4 linked regions of the Callithrix jacchus genome follow. The protein of the gene in region 4 interacts with the protein of the main gene of each other region in a biochemical or structural test. Links are inferred from orthologs where the notes say so. Each region holds a gene or a part of one and is shown on either strand. Other genes may lie near its edges.

What was found.
Region 1: the proteins of PEX19 (region 4) and PEX13 form a complex in vitro, tested with the Homo sapiens proteins (2 studies listed by BioGRID and IntAct, with this or other methods). The link is inferred for Callithrix jacchus from reciprocal best matches to the Homo sapiens genes PEX19 and PEX13.
Region 2: the proteins of PEX19 (region 4) and ABCD2 form a complex in vitro, tested with the Homo sapiens proteins (3 studies listed by BioGRID and IntAct, with this or other methods). The link is inferred for Callithrix jacchus from reciprocal best matches to the Homo sapiens genes PEX19 and ABCD2.
Region 3: the proteins of PEX19 (region 4) and ABCD1 form a complex in vitro, tested with the Homo sapiens proteins (3 studies listed by BioGRID and IntAct, with this or other methods). The link is inferred for Callithrix jacchus from reciprocal best matches to the Homo sapiens genes PEX19 and ABCD1.

What each region holds. Positions count from the first base shown.
Region 1 is NC_133515.1:53,106,863-53,110,491, reverse strand, and holds part of PEX13 (peroxisome biogenesis factor 13), read left to right. Parts: intron 1-692; coding exon 693-1,387; intron 1,388-3,629. UniProt on the Homo sapiens protein: Component of the PEX13-PEX14 docking complex, a translocon channel that specifically mediates the import of peroxisomal cargo proteins bound to PEX5 receptor.
Region 2 is NC_133510.1:36,194,087-36,197,715, forward strand, and holds part of ABCD2 (ATP-binding cassette sub-family D member 2), read left to right. Parts: intron 1-792; coding exon 793-1,012; 3' UTR 1,013-3,629.
Region 3 is NC_133524.1:149,644,617-149,648,778, forward strand, and holds the start of ABCD1 (ATP-binding cassette sub-family D member 1), read left to right. Parts: upstream 1-1,334; 5' UTR 1,335-1,752; coding exon 1,753-2,652; intron 2,653-4,162. UniProt on the Homo sapiens protein: ATP-dependent transporter of the ATP-binding cassette (ABC) family involved in the transport of very long chain fatty acid (VLCFA)-CoA from the cytosol to the peroxisome lumen.
Region 4 is NC_133519.1:20,233,307-20,237,595, forward strand, and holds the start of PEX19 (peroxisomal biogenesis factor 19), read right to left. Parts: upstream 2,880-4,289; 5' UTR 2,865-2,879; coding exon 2,601-2,864; intron 1,234-2,600; coding exon of another isoform or gene 1,124-1,233; intron 696-1,123; coding exon 530-695; intron 82-529; coding exon 1-81. UniProt on the Homo sapiens protein: Necessary for early peroxisomal biogenesis. Acts both as a cytosolic chaperone and as an import receptor for peroxisomal membrane proteins (PMPs).

The sequences.
Region 1 (3,629 bases), on a different chromosome or scaffold from region 4:
GATGGTTGCCAAAGATTGGGGAAGGGGTGGGCAGGAAATGGGGAGTAGCTGCTAATGAATATGGGGATTCTTTTTTGAGGTGATGAAAATATTCTGAATTAGACATGGTGATAGTTACACACTTCTGTGAGTATACTGAAAACTATTAAACTTTAGGCCGGGCATGGTGGCTCACGCCTGTAATCCAAGCGCTTTGAAGACCAAGGCGGGCGGATCACCCGAGGTTGCGGGTTTGAGACCGGCCCGACCAACATGGTGAAACGCTGTCTTTAAATAAATTTTAAACATTAAAATGATGGCTAGGTGCAGTGGCTCACTCCTGTAATCCCAGCACTTTGGGAAACCAAGGTGGGTGGATTGTTTGAGCCCAGAAGTTTGAGACCAGCCTGGGCAACATGACAAAACCCCATCTCTATAAAAAATTTTAAAAAGTAGCCAGGTTTGATGGCATTCACCTTTAGTGCCAGCTGCTTTGGAGGCTGAGGTGGGAGGATCACTTGAGCCTAGGAGGTTGAGGCTACAGTGAGCTTTGATTGTGCTACTGTGTTACAGCCTGGGCAACAGAGTGAGACTCTGTCTCTAGATCAGTAGAATTTGTCACAGCACTAGGTATATAGGAGGTGTTTTATAGTTACTTTGAATTGAATTTATTGTACGCTTAAATAACTGTTTTGAATCTTCTTTGGTTTTAGATCTGCTGATTTGGGTCCTACTTTAATGACAAGACCAGGACAACCAGCACTTACCAGAGTGCCCCCACCTGTTCTTCCAAGGCCATCACAGCAGACAGGAAGTAGCAGTGTGAACACCTTCAGACCTGCTTACAGTTCATTTTCTTCTGGATATGGTGCCTATGGAAATTCATTTTATGGAAGCTATAGCCCTTATAGTTATGGATATAATGGGCTGGGCTACAACCGCCTCCGTGTAGATGATCTTCCACCCAGTAGATTTGTTCAGCAAGCTGAAGAAAGCAGCAGGGGTGCATTTCAGTCCATTGAAAGTATTGTGCATGCTTTTGCCTCTGTCAGTATGATGATGGATGCTACCTTTTCAGCTGTCTATAACAGTTTCAGGGCTGTATTGGATGTAGCAAATCACTTTTCCCGATTGAAAATACACTTTACAAAAGTGTTTTCAGCTTTTGCATTAGTTAGGACTATACGGTATCTTTACAGACGGTTACAGTGGATGTTAGGTTTAAGAAGAAGCTCTGAGAATGAGGACCTCTGGGCAGAAAGTGAAGGAACTGTGGCATACCTTGGTGCTGAGGACCAAGCAGCTAACTCAGCAAAATCTTGGCCAATATTCTTGTTCTTTGCCGTTACTCTTGGTGGTCCTTACCTCATTTGGAAATTGTTGTCAACTCACAGTGACGAACTAACAGGTAAGGGAACACGTTCAGATACTATATAACAATCTCAAATTTCAAGAACAGATTTGTTAAATTAGTTTTCTTTATATTCATTTGTATTTACTGTTTTGGTCCAGTTATATTTTCAGTTAAGAGCTTCAAAACTGGCAGAGAAATATATAGCAAAAATAGGTTTGCTGATTAGTTTATTGTTCAGTTAAACAGTACATATTACCTTACTGTTTACAAGTTACTGAACTTGGTGCTGTAGAGGATACAAAGCTTCATAGAGCATAATTCCTGTCTTTCTAAAATGTGTTGGAAGGGAGGTGGTGTAAGACACAAATACTTCATTAATTGTAATGAAGCAGAAAGTGTGATAAGAAATACGACAGTTGGGGAGAGATGTAAGGTTTCTTGAAACCTTTTTTAATATGTGAGACACTGCGCACGGTATTTTGTGTGTTGTATCTCAATTATTTCAACAACCCAAAGAGATAGAAATTATCCTCATTTTACAAGTGATAAAACTGAGATTCAGAGACTCGCTTATCCAGGGTCACATATTTAATAAGGCAGAACTATAAACAAAACCAGGTCTGCTTCAATGTTAAGCTGTATTCTCTCAACTGGTACAGAGTATTAGCTCACTTTAGAAGAGGGAAGCTATCATTTTTGACTGTGGTATCCAGGAAGAAATGGCATCTAAGTTACATTTTTGAAAGCTAGGCAACCTTTCATCAGTTAAATAAAGAAACGAAAACTATCAAGCTGATAGACCAGCTTGAACAAAAGTACATAGGCAGAAAATAAGAGATTTGTTTGGCAGTTGTCCTATATAGTATTAAGAAATAATATGAGAAATTAGGTTGAAAGCTAATAGTAGAAGCTCTTAATTGCCATTATGAAACAATCTTTACATAAGGAATGGATGGTTTTTTTAGCAGTTTATGTTTGTTTTTAAGTAGACTGTGTCGTACGTGTAAACAGTAAAGAAGTCAGTCTGAAGTGTTTAAGATATGTCAGTAAAAGTCAAAACAGGGGCCAGGTGTGGTGCTTAATCCCAGCACTTTGGGAGGCTGAGGCAGGCAGATCACGAGGTCAGGAGTTCAAGACCAGACGGGCCACCATGGTGAAACCCCATCTCTACTAAAAAATACAAAAATTAGTTTGGCATGGTGGCTCGTGCCTGTAATCCCAGCTACGGGAGAGTCTGAGGTAGGAGAATTGCTTGAACTGGGACCCAGGAGGCGGAGGTTGCAGTGAGCTGAGATTGCAACACTGCACTTCAGCCTGGGCTACGGAGCAAAACTCCATCTCAAAAAAAAAAAAAGTCAAAAGAGGTTGTAATTCATAAAGGATTTAGGTTATGTTCACCTTTGTATTCCTACTATCTAAGCTGCTTGGCAAATAGAAGGTACTTAATAGGTATTTTTTAATTTGGGGGTATCAGTTATGATACTTTTACCTTAGACTATTTGAAAGATAATGAAGACCCAAACTAGAGTGTGTGAGAAGCAGGATTGATATAATAGATTTAGTGGATGTAGTCACTGACTAAATGAGGTATATAAAGGCAAAGTAGAAATCAAAATACCCTAGACCTTTAAATTTGGGTTATTAGAGGGATAACATTTTATTCGTTAACTCAATAAATATTTGTTGGGCGCCAACTACATACCAAAGAGTTCTCAGAGCTAGGGATATAGCAATGAATAAAATGTATTTTAAAAATATCTGCCTTTGTGACAATCTAATAAGGGAGAAACAGTAAGAAAATAAATAAAATATATAGTAAGCCTGAAGGTGCTAAGTGCTACAGGGGAAAAAACAAAACAGGGAAGAATATTGGGAGTGTCAGGAGTAGGAACAGGGGTTGAACTGCACATACAGTCAGGGAATGCCTCCCTGAAGCAGTTGAGGGAATAAGCCCTACAGCTCTTTAAAGGAAGAGTGTTTTGAGGCATAGGGAACAGCAAAAGTACAGAGGTATTTAAGTGGCATGTCATGGGAACAGGAAGGAGGCCAGTGTGGTTGGAGCAAAGTGTTAGTGGCAGGAGATGAAGGCAGTAGATGGTATAAGTAATCCCAACACTGGGAGGCTGAGGCCTGCAGATCACTTGAGCCTGACAAATCATGCAAGCTAGTTTGGCCCTCTTTCTCACATGCACTCTCTTGCCATGTGATATGCCTTCTGCCATGTTATGACACAGCAAGAAGGCCCTTACCAAATGCAGAACCCTTGATCTAGGATTTTCTGACCTCTAGAACTGTG
Region 2 (3,629 bases), on a different chromosome or scaffold from region 4:
AATGGAGGACACATAAGAATATAGGCCAGTTCAGCAGTGACAAAATGTAGGTAGCTTGGCCACACAGGACCAGCTCTGCCAATTTTTCTCTCACCAAATATCCCCGACATAGCCCACAAAATGGCAGCCTCAGCCTCCCTTAGCACAAGATGGATCATTTCCTATCTTATCAGTAAAATAATCTCCATACCTCTATGAAGTTCCTAATTATGAAACTGTGCCACGAGAGATTAAATTATATAAGAATGTGGAAGTATCTTTAAAATATTTCTTCTATCAAAGAGGTGTTTTAAAAAATGTTTTTAAACTTTAATTATTGAGAAACTTTACTTACGTAGAAGAACTCATTCTCAGAGGATGTTGTATTAATGAATTGCTATTGTATTTCCTTTATTTTCCTTAGTTTTCCTACATCCTTTGAATGTTGACTTTCTTTCCTCAGCTTCCTTTCCTTACTCCCATACAGAAATAGTATTCCTTACTATTTATTTAGGAGTCACAGTGAATTATAAAGATAAATTAAATACATGCAACAGCATGTCTTCCTTTATAGTTAATATACATCCAGAATATAAAAAATATACAAGAATATTTTCCTAAAAATCAGATTAATGACTTTGGGTTTAAAAAAAAAATCACAGTATTTAAATTCTTGATATGTCCTTAAAACTCAAATGTAAAGCAGCACCTACTTAAAATTTGCCTCTGAGTATCAATTTGGATGATAAACCTACAACTAAAATGACTTTTCAAAATTATGGCTAATAATTTTATTTCATTTTAATTATGCAGGAAATACCATACACATTTATTACAGTTTGATGGTGAAGGAGGTTGGCGCTTTGAACAATTGGATACTGCTATCCGTTTGACATTGAGTGAAGAAAAACAAAAGCTAGAATCTCAGCTAGCTGGAATTCCCAAAATGCAGCAGAGACTCAATGAACTATGTAAAATTTTGGGAGAAGATTCAGTGCTGAAAACAATTAAAAATGAAGATGAGACATCTTAATTTGTTTTGACACATTTTAAAAGTTAATTATTAAATAAAGCCTCAAAGACACTCTGTTATATTGCATGAAGTATGTTAAGCTAAGCACAGATTAGAAAAAGGCAGCAAGACATGTTTTATAAGGTTTTAGTATTAAGGAAGTATATGATCTGACTTTTCAGAAGAAAAATAAACAAATTCATTATGTAAGATCAGTCATTATGACTTATACTAATTCCTAGTGAAGGCCTAATACACTTGTAAAGCAGGATTTTCTAGGTGAATTCACGATGAATACCAGATTTACTATGTATATGTGATGTGTCTGAAGTTCTTAACAAACATGGGAGATATTCTGGAAAAGAAAAAAGTTTAGAGCAGCATTTGGGTTGATACCAAGTGCATAAAATTAGAACTTTGGGTAACATTTAGTCCATTTATAGTTGATACTAGGTTTAACAGCTAGAATTCATATTGATCATTGCTAGCAGCCAACTAAACAAAACAGCTGACAGTTTGATAAATAATTTCAATATAAAAATTGTTTCAATGGCAGTGGTTCAAAGAAAAAAGCATGGCTAAAATGTATAAAACACCGTATTTTAAAAATTTAGACTTTAAACATCTTAATGAGGACATATAATAAATTAATTTTAGTAGGAATCCAAAATATTTTTAATAAGCCCTTTCATTTTAAAAGAGAATTGCCAATACAGAAAAGGAGTATCCAAACAATGTTTGTCTCAGCCTGATAATTTACTTGATAGAATTATCTATTGTAACTTCTGTTCAGAAATACACAGCTTGTTTTTTTGCCCAAGAATGAGATTCCACATTTTAAGAATTGCAGTGATATAATAGAATTTAAGGATTCTGAGAATCACAGTAATCATATACATTGGAATAGTACTTTATAATTTACAATCTCCATTTACATCACTTCACTTTAATTCTCGTGGCAATGTTTTGAGACAGATATTATTTTTCCTACTTTGCTTTTGAGAGAATTAACACTAAGACTTGCCCTAATCATGCAATTTATTTGAGGAAAGATCCAGAAATCAAATGAAGTGTTCTTTACTCCCTGGTTTAGTACTCTTTGTTATTATTTTTTAAATCAAACTAGGCTATAATAGCAACAAAAGTTAGATGAGGTGTTGAAAATAAAATAAATTTGGTAATGGTAGTCTTATTGTTATTTGTTTATTGTTTAGAAGAAATAAAAATTAAGTACAAAGTGCAAAGATCATTGTTCTGTGGTTTAAAATGAACCAAGAAAGTTATGAAATCATTTAGCAACTATGCAGTCTTACTTAATATGAACATACCTCTAAGGCATCAGCAATCAGAAGAGCAAATAATCATGGTTTTGGTAAATTTAATATTTATTGAACATAATGAGAAATAATCTGCATGGACTAGCCATATGAAATAGATCTTATTCTATTTGTGTGCACTGGAGTTGGAAGTACAAAAGCTAAGACTGAAACTTCAATCTCTTGCTGCCTATGACACCACTTTGGTAGGCCAGAAGAATATTGGAATGATCAGTTGTTAGCGGCCTAGAATTTTATTGCCTGTTGAGACACAGCCATAATAAATGTTAACTCTGTGATTCTTAGCCCTTCTCAAGTGATAGAGTACCTGGAAGTCATTCATAATGGTCATTATAGAACATCATAACATTTTCACATTTTCAATTCTACTGTGATAACGAGTGCATTTTTAATTGTCAATAAATGTAACCAACTTACATGAAGTAATGCAATATAAAATCATAATCAATACATTTGTCCAACATTTTCTGTTAGTATCATCACTTACTTATTCATCAGTTACTAATATTTCCTGCTAGAAAAGTGAGGCAGGTTTTAAAGATTTTAAGAAGCATGGAACCAACACTTAACCTTGCTAAAAATTATTCATTAATCTTTTCTACAAAAGTAGTTATCCAGTTTATACTGCTGTAAGGGGAAAAGTCTGAGGCAAGTGTCTTAAGTTAACTGTTAAAGTAAAGAAGAAAATGAAAAATCCTCATGTGAAAGATGTGTATAATTTTCATGCCTTAATTTTCATAATATAAAAATAAAACATAATTTTTAAAACCCTGATATTTTGTTTTGAAACATTGAAAAGAACGTCAAAACAAATATTAGATTTGTAATTAGTCATTATTTAATATATTTTATCAGTGAACTAAAGCAAAAAAGACTCATTATTTATAATGTACAGGATTCAAATATGTCTAAAACTCTGCATTAAAAACTATATACACTGTAATTTAAATGTTAAAGTTCTAATAGAAACATGTTTTCCATGAGCTTTTTGTGCCTATTTGTTTTATAAATTTATTTTTCAGGACCTTAACTTGGAGGGGAAAAAATCTCTGCTTTGAACTTGTATTTATATACCATTCAGTTGTTTCCAAATGATCCAATGGATATATCATATTTTACTATTCTTATAGTTATATTTTATGAAAAATACTGAGAAACTAGCCATTTTGAATATAGCAAGAAATAGATGAGGAAAGGAAAAAGGAATGTTTCAAGTTTCAAACTGCTTTTACCATGTTGTATCTATTTGCCAAAACATTTTATATTTTTGGTCAGAAAAAAAAGCTGTAAGTTTATGGAGC
Region 3 (4,162 bases), on a different chromosome or scaffold from region 4:
AAGTTCCGTTCACTGGTCAGGTACCTGCTCCCCCTCCAACACGTGTGTCAACACGTCTAGAGCCACCTCTCCCAACAATCCCTGTCTCAGGGAGCCACAGACTCCCGACGCCCGTTTAACTGGAAAGGTGTTCTTCGGAAGAGCAGTACCAGGGCGCCAACAAGACGCCTTGGCACCAATCGGGCCCTCCCTTCCCCGCCAGGCGGAGCTCAGCTGCAGAGGCGGGAGCTCTGCGAGCCCAAATCCCTGCTATCAGGAGGGCCCTGGGCCGCACCTCGTCCTAGCGCTGCTGACGCCCCCGCCCCCCCCCACCTTCCCCACGGCGCCTGCGAGAGAATCCAGCACCTCCCTCGGGGCTCAAGCAGCCTTCCGCCCGGGGCCGCTCCGCCTCCGGTGGGCTGGAGGCCCGCAAGAGCGACTCCTAGAGGATAGGAGTCGGGGCCAGGCGCAAAGGCAGGTCTCGATCGAGCACCTCAAGGCCTCGTACAGAGAAAGTTCTACACGCAGTTTTCTCAGAAGCTAGGGCCCCTTCCAGCAGCCCCGGCCGGCCACAGCGCCCACCAAGAGCGAGAGCCGGCCACGCGCTCCGGAGGCCCCCCAACGTGGCTCCGGCAGGGCACAGCGTCCCCGAGGCCCAGCCCGGCCGCTCCTACAGATGGGGCTTCGCCACCCCCCGCCCCGCCCCGCCCCCGAGCCCAGATCCTACAGATGCCGCCCAGTTTCCCCTCGCCCCTGCCCCTCCCAGGTAGGCTGCGGGCCCCGAGATTCCCCGGCCCCCGGGCCTCCCAGCGCTGCTCGCCTCTCTCCCTCATCGAGGAGCCTGGGAGCCTCGGCAGCCCCGGAGCCCAGCCCGGCGCGCGGAGCCCGCTCACCGAGTTTCCCACACTCAGTCCGCAAGCCCCACCGCAGCCGCCAAACTCTCCCACAGCAGCCCCAGTCCCAGCCCCGCCCCTTACCCCACGGCCGGAAACCGGAAGCGCCCCCCGGTCACCGCCCACTAGCCCTCGCGAGGCCTCAGAGGCTCCGTTCCCCGCCTCTTCCCGCCCCGCCCCCAAACGGAGGGCCAGCGCCCCGGGCGTGAGAGGAAGCGGCGCCTCTGGCTCCGGGCGCGCGGGGCGGGGAGAAGGGCGGGGTGAAGCGGGCACGCGGACAGGGCGGGGCTTTGGCGGGCCGGCTAGGGCCGCTTCTCTAGCCCGCGCGGCCATCGCCCCCGCCGTGGGGCGAGAACGGGGTGGGGCTCCCGCTCCCGGACTCCGCCCCTCTCCCCTCCTCCGCCTCCTCCCCTTCCCCCGACTCGCCCCTGGGGAGGGGTGAGTGGGCGGGGATTCTGGGCCAGTGGAGGAGTCACAGTCGCTTCAACCAGGCTGCGGAACGGACGGACGCGCCTGGTGCCCCGGGGAGGGGCGCCACCAGGGGAGGAGGAGGAGAAGGTGGAGAGGAAGAGACGCCCTCTCTCCCCGAGACCTCTCAAGGTTCTGACCTCAGGGGCCAGGGCACTGACAAGACAGGAGAACCAAGTTCCTCAACTTGGGCTGCCCGAAGAGGCCTCGACCCTGGAGGGCCCTGAGCCCACTGCACCAGGGGCCCCAGCACCACCCCGGGGGCCTAAAGCGACAGTCTCAGGGGCCACCGCAAGGTTTCCAGTTGCCTAGACAACAGGCCCAGGGTCCGAGCAACAACCCTTCCAGCCACCTGCCTCAACTGCTGCCCCAGGCACCAGCCCCAGCCCCAGCTCCAGCCAGCCCAGGTGACATGCCGGTGCTCTCCATGCCCCGGCCCTGGCGGGGGAGCACGCTGAAGCGCACGGCGGTGCTCCTGGCCCTCGCGGCCTATGGAGCCCACAAAGCCTACCCCTTGGTGCGCCAGTGCCTGGCCGTGGCCAGGGGTCCTCAAGCTCCCGCCAGGGACCCCACACAGGAGGCCTCCGGGGCCGCGGCGGCCAAGACCGGCATGAACCGGGTATTCCTGCAGCGGCTCCTGTGGCTCCTGCGGCTGCTGTTCCCGCGGGTCCTGTGCCGGGAGACAGGGCTGCTGGCCCTGCACTCGGCCGCCCTGGTGAGCCGCACTTTCCTGTCTGTGTATGTGGCCCGCCTGGACGGAAGGCTGGCCCGCTGCATCGTGCGCAAGGACCCTCGGGCCTTCGGCTGGCAGCTGCTACAGTGGCTCCTCATCGCCCTCCCTGCCACCTTCGTCAACAGTGCCATCCGCTACCTGGAGGGCCAACTGGCCCTGTCTTTCCGCAGCCGTCTGGTGGCCCACGCCTACAGCCTCTACTTCTCCCAGCAGACCTACTACCGAGTCAGCAACATGGATGGGCGGCTTCGCAACCCTGACCAGTCTCTGACAGAGGACGTGGTGGCCTTCGCGGCCTCTGTGGCCCACCTCTACTCCAACCTGACCAAGCCACTCCTGGATGTGGCCGTGACTTCCTACACCCTGCTTCGGGCTGCCCGCTCCCGTGGGGCCGGCACAGCCTGGCCCTCGGCCATTGCCGGCCTCGTGGTGTTCCTAACCGCCAACGTGCTGCGGGCCTTCTCGCCCAAGTTCGGGGAGCTGGTGGCAGAGGAGGCACGGCGGAAGGGGGAGCTGCGCTACATGCACTCCCGTGTGGTGGCCAACTCGGAGGAGATCGCCTTCTACGGGGGCCATGAGGTGGGGCAGGTTGGGGTGCTGGGCATGGAGGGAAACGTTTGGCAGGGAGGCCCGGGGCAGGCAGTCGTGAGCGGTGGGGACAGCCCGGGACAGGCCAGGGCTGATGCCAAAGGTGTGGGCAGGCCATGAGAGAGCAGGGCTGGGGTGGGCAGGGCCTTGGGCCACTGTGGACTCAGGCGCGGTAGTGGAGAGGCAGGAAGGCTGGGTGGGGACTGTCCTGTGCTGGTTGCCTGCATGCTCCAGGCCACTTCTGCTTCCTCTCCTCCTCAAGGAGGTTGTCCTGGCCTTAGAGCTTCGATCCTAGCGGTTTGAGCATTGAGAGCTCCTGCCCGCCCCACTCCTGGAGGCAGCTAGGAGGAGATGCCTGCCATTCATGAGTGGCGACCGCCGGACGCAGCCTGCTACTCAGCCCCTCCTGGGCCCCTGGGCCCTTTGAAGGCCGGCGTCCAGCAGAGCTGGCCAGCCAGGCAGGCGAGCATTATGGGCATGACTCAGCCCAAGCGGAGGTTAATGAGCAGTGCCCAGTGCAGCAGTAGGACTTGGGGTCAAGGCCACCCCCTCCTGAGCCCACGGGCCTGCCCAGCTACCAACTGGCTCAGCTGCCTTCCTGGGCCACCAGACCAGAGATGCCGGCCCCAGGCTGCCACTACGGCGGGACACACTTCCTGCTCCTGGCAGGCCGGGGCGGGCAGGCTAGGCAGGCGCTGGGAAAGGTTATTCCAGGTCAGCGCTCCCTTCATCTCGGATCGGCCCCTCCCCTTCCCCATGCCTAGGGTTGCAGCTGCCTTGAGCCCGTCTCTCTGCGACTCAGTTTCAGTTCCCTAGTGCTTCTTGGGAGGAAGGGCACAATGGCATTTATCCCCTGAAGGCCTGTGTGTGCTCCCTGAGTCAGGTGACCTCTTGCCCTGGGACCTGGACTCACTGACTGTGCACCAGCAGAGAAGCAGGCTTGTCCCCAAACTCCACGGAGAGGGGCATCCCGGGTGTGGGCCAGACTGCAGATTCAGAGAAAAGGCACCTGGACTTCAGCCACCACCCCGGCTTCCCTCTGCTCTTCTCCCGCATGCTGGGCTGCAGGGCCTTGGCAGGCAGCCGCAGCCTTGGGCGAGGCACTTGGCACATTCCCTGCAGCTACATTGTCAGCCTTGGCTGGCACCCCTGCCAGCTCCCAGCACGAGTCTGGATTGCCAGGGTGCTCACTTCAGGAATGGGAGATCGGGCTTGTGAGGAGCTGAGCTGTACAGGCTGACCTGGGTGGCAGGGGCAGAAGAGAGATCACTGGTTTTTTAAAGCCTTCATCTGAGCTAGCTTCAGGAAGTAGAGAGATCACTGGTTGTTTGAAGGCCTTCGTCTGGGCTAGCATGAGGAAGTAGTGTGTTGGCCAAGAGTTTGTTGGCTGGGGCAGGAGGGCCCCATGTGGGTCTGCGGCCTGTCTGCATAGGCCTCAGCTGGAAAGCTGTGTGGGGTGATAGGACCCCCCGATGGCTGGATGGCCCTTGCTGGGGCAGTT
Region 4 (4,289 bases):
GGTCAGTAGCATTTTTGGCTAATCCACTTAGTGTCTCCTTTAGGCAAGAAGTAAATTCTTGCTGGGAGGTCATATCACTGCCTAGGAAAGATTAAAAAAAAAAGCCAAGGTCATTTAGGAGTTTAATTGTTTTCTTGCCTAGACTGAACTGGTTAACTGCTTGGATATGAAGCATTTACTAGTGAATCATGATCACTCCACATCTTGAAAATGCTATGGTTATCTTCATAGTCTTTTCATACATCTATTTAATACACGAACTCTGTTTCAGTTTATTCTCCATGATGGCACCCACCATAACACCGGGACCTTTCAAACGGTCAGTTTTGAATAATCTTTGCTATTACTTTCCAACCTATCTCACACCTCTTCATGAAGAGGGGTTCCCATCCCTTCTCCCATTGCATTTCCTCATCCCATGATTGTGACGTCATGATTGCTATCAACTTTACTAAGATTTCTGGTGTTTTCAAGCAACAAAGACTTAAGAGTCTGTTCAGATGTTTCTGTTTATCTGGGGTCTCCTCACCCACTCTCCCTGCAGCCTCTGAGAGCTTTTGGAACTGCTCCACCAGATGGGGCTCTTCCTCAGCCAACTCCTTCATTGCTTTCTCGAACTCTGCAGTGGCTTGGGAAGCCAGTTCACTGTCGAATAGTTCCTGGAAAAACTTCTCTTGGGAAGCGAAGAGGGCATCCTGCAGGGGAAGGGTGGCTGAAATGTGTCTCTTACTTAGGACTACACTGCATCTGGCCTCTGACAGAAGCCACAGGCAGTGGCTCTGGGAAATGTAGCACCTCCCTCCTGCCCACTTCCACTGGACATTCCTAACTACTGCTCCTAATGAGGACAGCAAAAAAGGCATCTAGCCATTGAAGGAAGGTATGAGATGGCATACTAATCCAACCATTTAAACCTCCTCTTTTTTCAAGGAAGTCTCTTGAGAGTCCTCTGCTCAACTTCAAGTCCTTATTTCACAAGGGCTGAGGCTGGCAACAGCACTCACCAATGTGAGGCCAACTTACCCTCCCCCATTCCCCTCTGGCCCATAGGGGCCTGCCCAACATCTGCTCAGAGCTGCATCCCCATCCCCTCCCCATCCCTTAATTGGGGTAGAATTTATACTTTGGCAGTGTCTCCTGGCGATCTCTTCTGGGGCCCCGAAGCATCAGGGGCTGTGGTGGTAGAAGGGGGTGCTGGGGAGGGTTTGGCTTTATCGAAATCATCAAGAGCACCTTCAGAGACAAGAGACATGGTGTGTGTGTTGATGATAGATAAGGATGCAAGCAAAGGTGGGTGGTTTCTGGACAAAGCATTAGGAATATGATTTTTCAAATTCCCCCACCTCCCCGAACCACCCCAACGAGTCACCTACTTCCCTCTGGATTATGTAATTTACTGTGAGCAAAGGCAAAGAAATCCCTTAAGGCAAACAAGTGTCCATCTCAGAGTTGGGAGAGGATTAAAAAGTTCTGCAGACACATCTCCATTTATAGTGTCTCCCTTGCCACACCCTAATGAATCCCTAAAAATCCCATACGAATACCCAGCAGGAGTAGAGAACACATATGTCCTCATCCCTCTGAACTCAGTCTGGAGCTCTAAAAGGAATAACTTGGTGAGAAAGCACAAGATCCCACCCAGCTTCCTGTTGGTACTGGTATCAGCACAGACTGAGGGACTACATACTGCACTCCATGTGAAGGCATTAAACTCTCTTCTCTTATTCTCCAGTCGAGTGCTCCCCCACAACCTCCTAGAGCTCCCTTTGGCCTGATCTCTGCAGATAACCATACACTAATTCACACAGTCATCTGGCACTCCTCAGAGTTTCAGTTTATTTTTCTGTCTGCCCACATTTCTGTGACTGAACTAGAGATTACAAATTCACCTCTGCCCTGAAAAGCCTGTGTCCTCACCACCACTCTGCATGCCAGGCCTAGGGAGAGGGCACTGGCCCCACTCTGGGCAGGAAACCAACAGGGGAGTGGAGAATAATGCTAAGAAAACCACCACCGTCTTTCAGGAGGGTGAACTGCTTTCCCCTGAAATCACCTTATCCTCAGTTTCTGAAAATAAGGGAAAGGAGTCCGCTTGAGCTACTGACAAGATGAAGTAACTGTAAGGGGCCTAGCGAGAGAGAAAAAAAGACTACGAGGAGAAAAGTGTCTTTGGTGCTAAGGAAGACAGGATGAGACACAGAAGGACGGGCCACAAGCTTGCTGGGAGTTAATGTAAGCAATCAGAGAATATGTGGTTCGCTACCCAATGCTGCTGCCGCTGCTGAAGGGAGGGAAGTTGGACTTTAAAAACTTAGTAACCTAAAGAAAGAGGAGTTTGGAGAGGTATCGTGAAACACCATCCTCCGTTAAGATCCACAATCTAGACCACTGAGGGACCCCTGGTTGAGCTCCCCAGCTCCAGTCGCGGAGGTAGGGCAGGATGACCCAGAGATTTTTGGGGGGCTCGCGGTCACTCTCCGCCCCCATCTAGCCTTTGGAGAGCCTCTCCTGCCCCTTCCCTAATATCTCAGGTTAACTTAACCTTCTGAATGGGTCCTCACACCTGCCCCCTTCGGGTCCTTCCCACTATGAGCTCTTACTTTCCAGAAGCTCCTCCAATTCCCTGTCCGTTTCGGCCCCGACACCACAGTCTTCCTCAGCGGCCGCCATCTTGCTACCTCCGACTTGCCGTAGGAGGCGGGACCCCTTCGGCGCAGCCACGCCCCCCACCCCTTCGCTCCCGCCCTCTTCTGCCTCGAGCAACCAATGGTATTGTTGGCCAGTGCGGAACCGCCATTTTTAAAGGGCCAGGAAGCTTCACTTACTGTGTTTTGGGTATTTTCCCCCTTTCGCCTGAGAACCATGGAATTAGGGATAAGATACTGTTATTTTCTGCCTGGTTTTAGAGGCCCGGAGTCCCAAATTACCTGGCGAAGCTCTTTCATTATTTTTTCCTGAGCTGTGTGACTAGGCCAGACGGGACAAACTGCCTACAATCTATACATATATAATTGAGAAGACAGTTATGGTACGTAACATGCCACTTTCTCTCACTTATTTTTTTGAAATGGAATCTCGGTCTGTCGCCATCTCGGCTCATTGTAGCCTCAGCCTCCCAGGTTCAAGCTATTTTCCTGCCTTTGCCTCCCAATTAGCTGGGATTACAGGCATGCGGCACCACGTCCGGCAAATTTTTGTATTTTTGGTAGAGATAAGAGTTTCACTATGTTGGGCAAGCTTATTGGCCAGGCTGGTCTCGAACTCCTGACCTCATGCGATCCGCCCACCTCAGCTTTGCAAAGTGCTGGGATTTACAGGCGTGAGCCACCGCGCCCGGCCTCACTTCATTATTTCACTCAAATGTTATCTTCTCTGAAACGCTTTCCTTGGCCATTCCCATTCCTTTTCTTGCTAACATTGAACACTATCTGACATACTATCTACTGTACTTGTTTATTCTCCGCTCCCTACTCGGCAGAATTTAAGCACCATGAATGCAAAGATTTTTCGTTTGTTGTCTTCACTGCTGCAAAGCCCAGTTCCTAGGCTAGGGCTTAAAACTTAGTAGGCACTCGCTGGCCACTCTGCTCTCCCAGTGTAAATATCAGGCATATTTGTCTGCCCAATCTAGTGGCACCTCTCATTTCCTATTTTCTATTAGAACTGTTTGATTAAAGGACACAGGGCCAGGAACTTAGAACTCAATGTTAGAAAGAGACCTTGGACTGAGCAGGAGGGCAATTCAAATGTAGTTGTAATAGACTTCCTTTCTCTGACCTGTCTCCTTTTCTCCACCCAGAACCCAACCTCCAACTGAGTGAACAAGGGGATGCTCAGACAGAGGTAACTCTAGATTTCCGTTTCCTCCTTTGGAATTGTTCTATTCAGATTTGTCAGAATGTACCAACTGTTTCACATACAAATCTGTTTTGGCACTTAGAGACCACCTACTGTTAAGGTCTTGTGCTGGGCACATCAAGTACAGGGGGATAAATCAGGACCAGCCTCAGCTGTAAGGTAGCTAAGTGGGGGTGAGCTGGAGGCATGATGAGATATACACACGCTAAGTGTGATACAAGGTAATAATTTTAAATGAAAAAAATAAGTCACCTCATCATTTTCATTCTTAGCTTCCTAAACACACGTTTAAGTACTGCTTCAAGCACCAGATCAGGCACTTTGTCCTTCACAGACAGGGCACAGACTTGTCAAACAGTATCTGTGTAAAACTGGTTTTCCTCCAACCACAAATAGTGTGTTTTGGGATAAAAACATATTTGGCTGAAAGT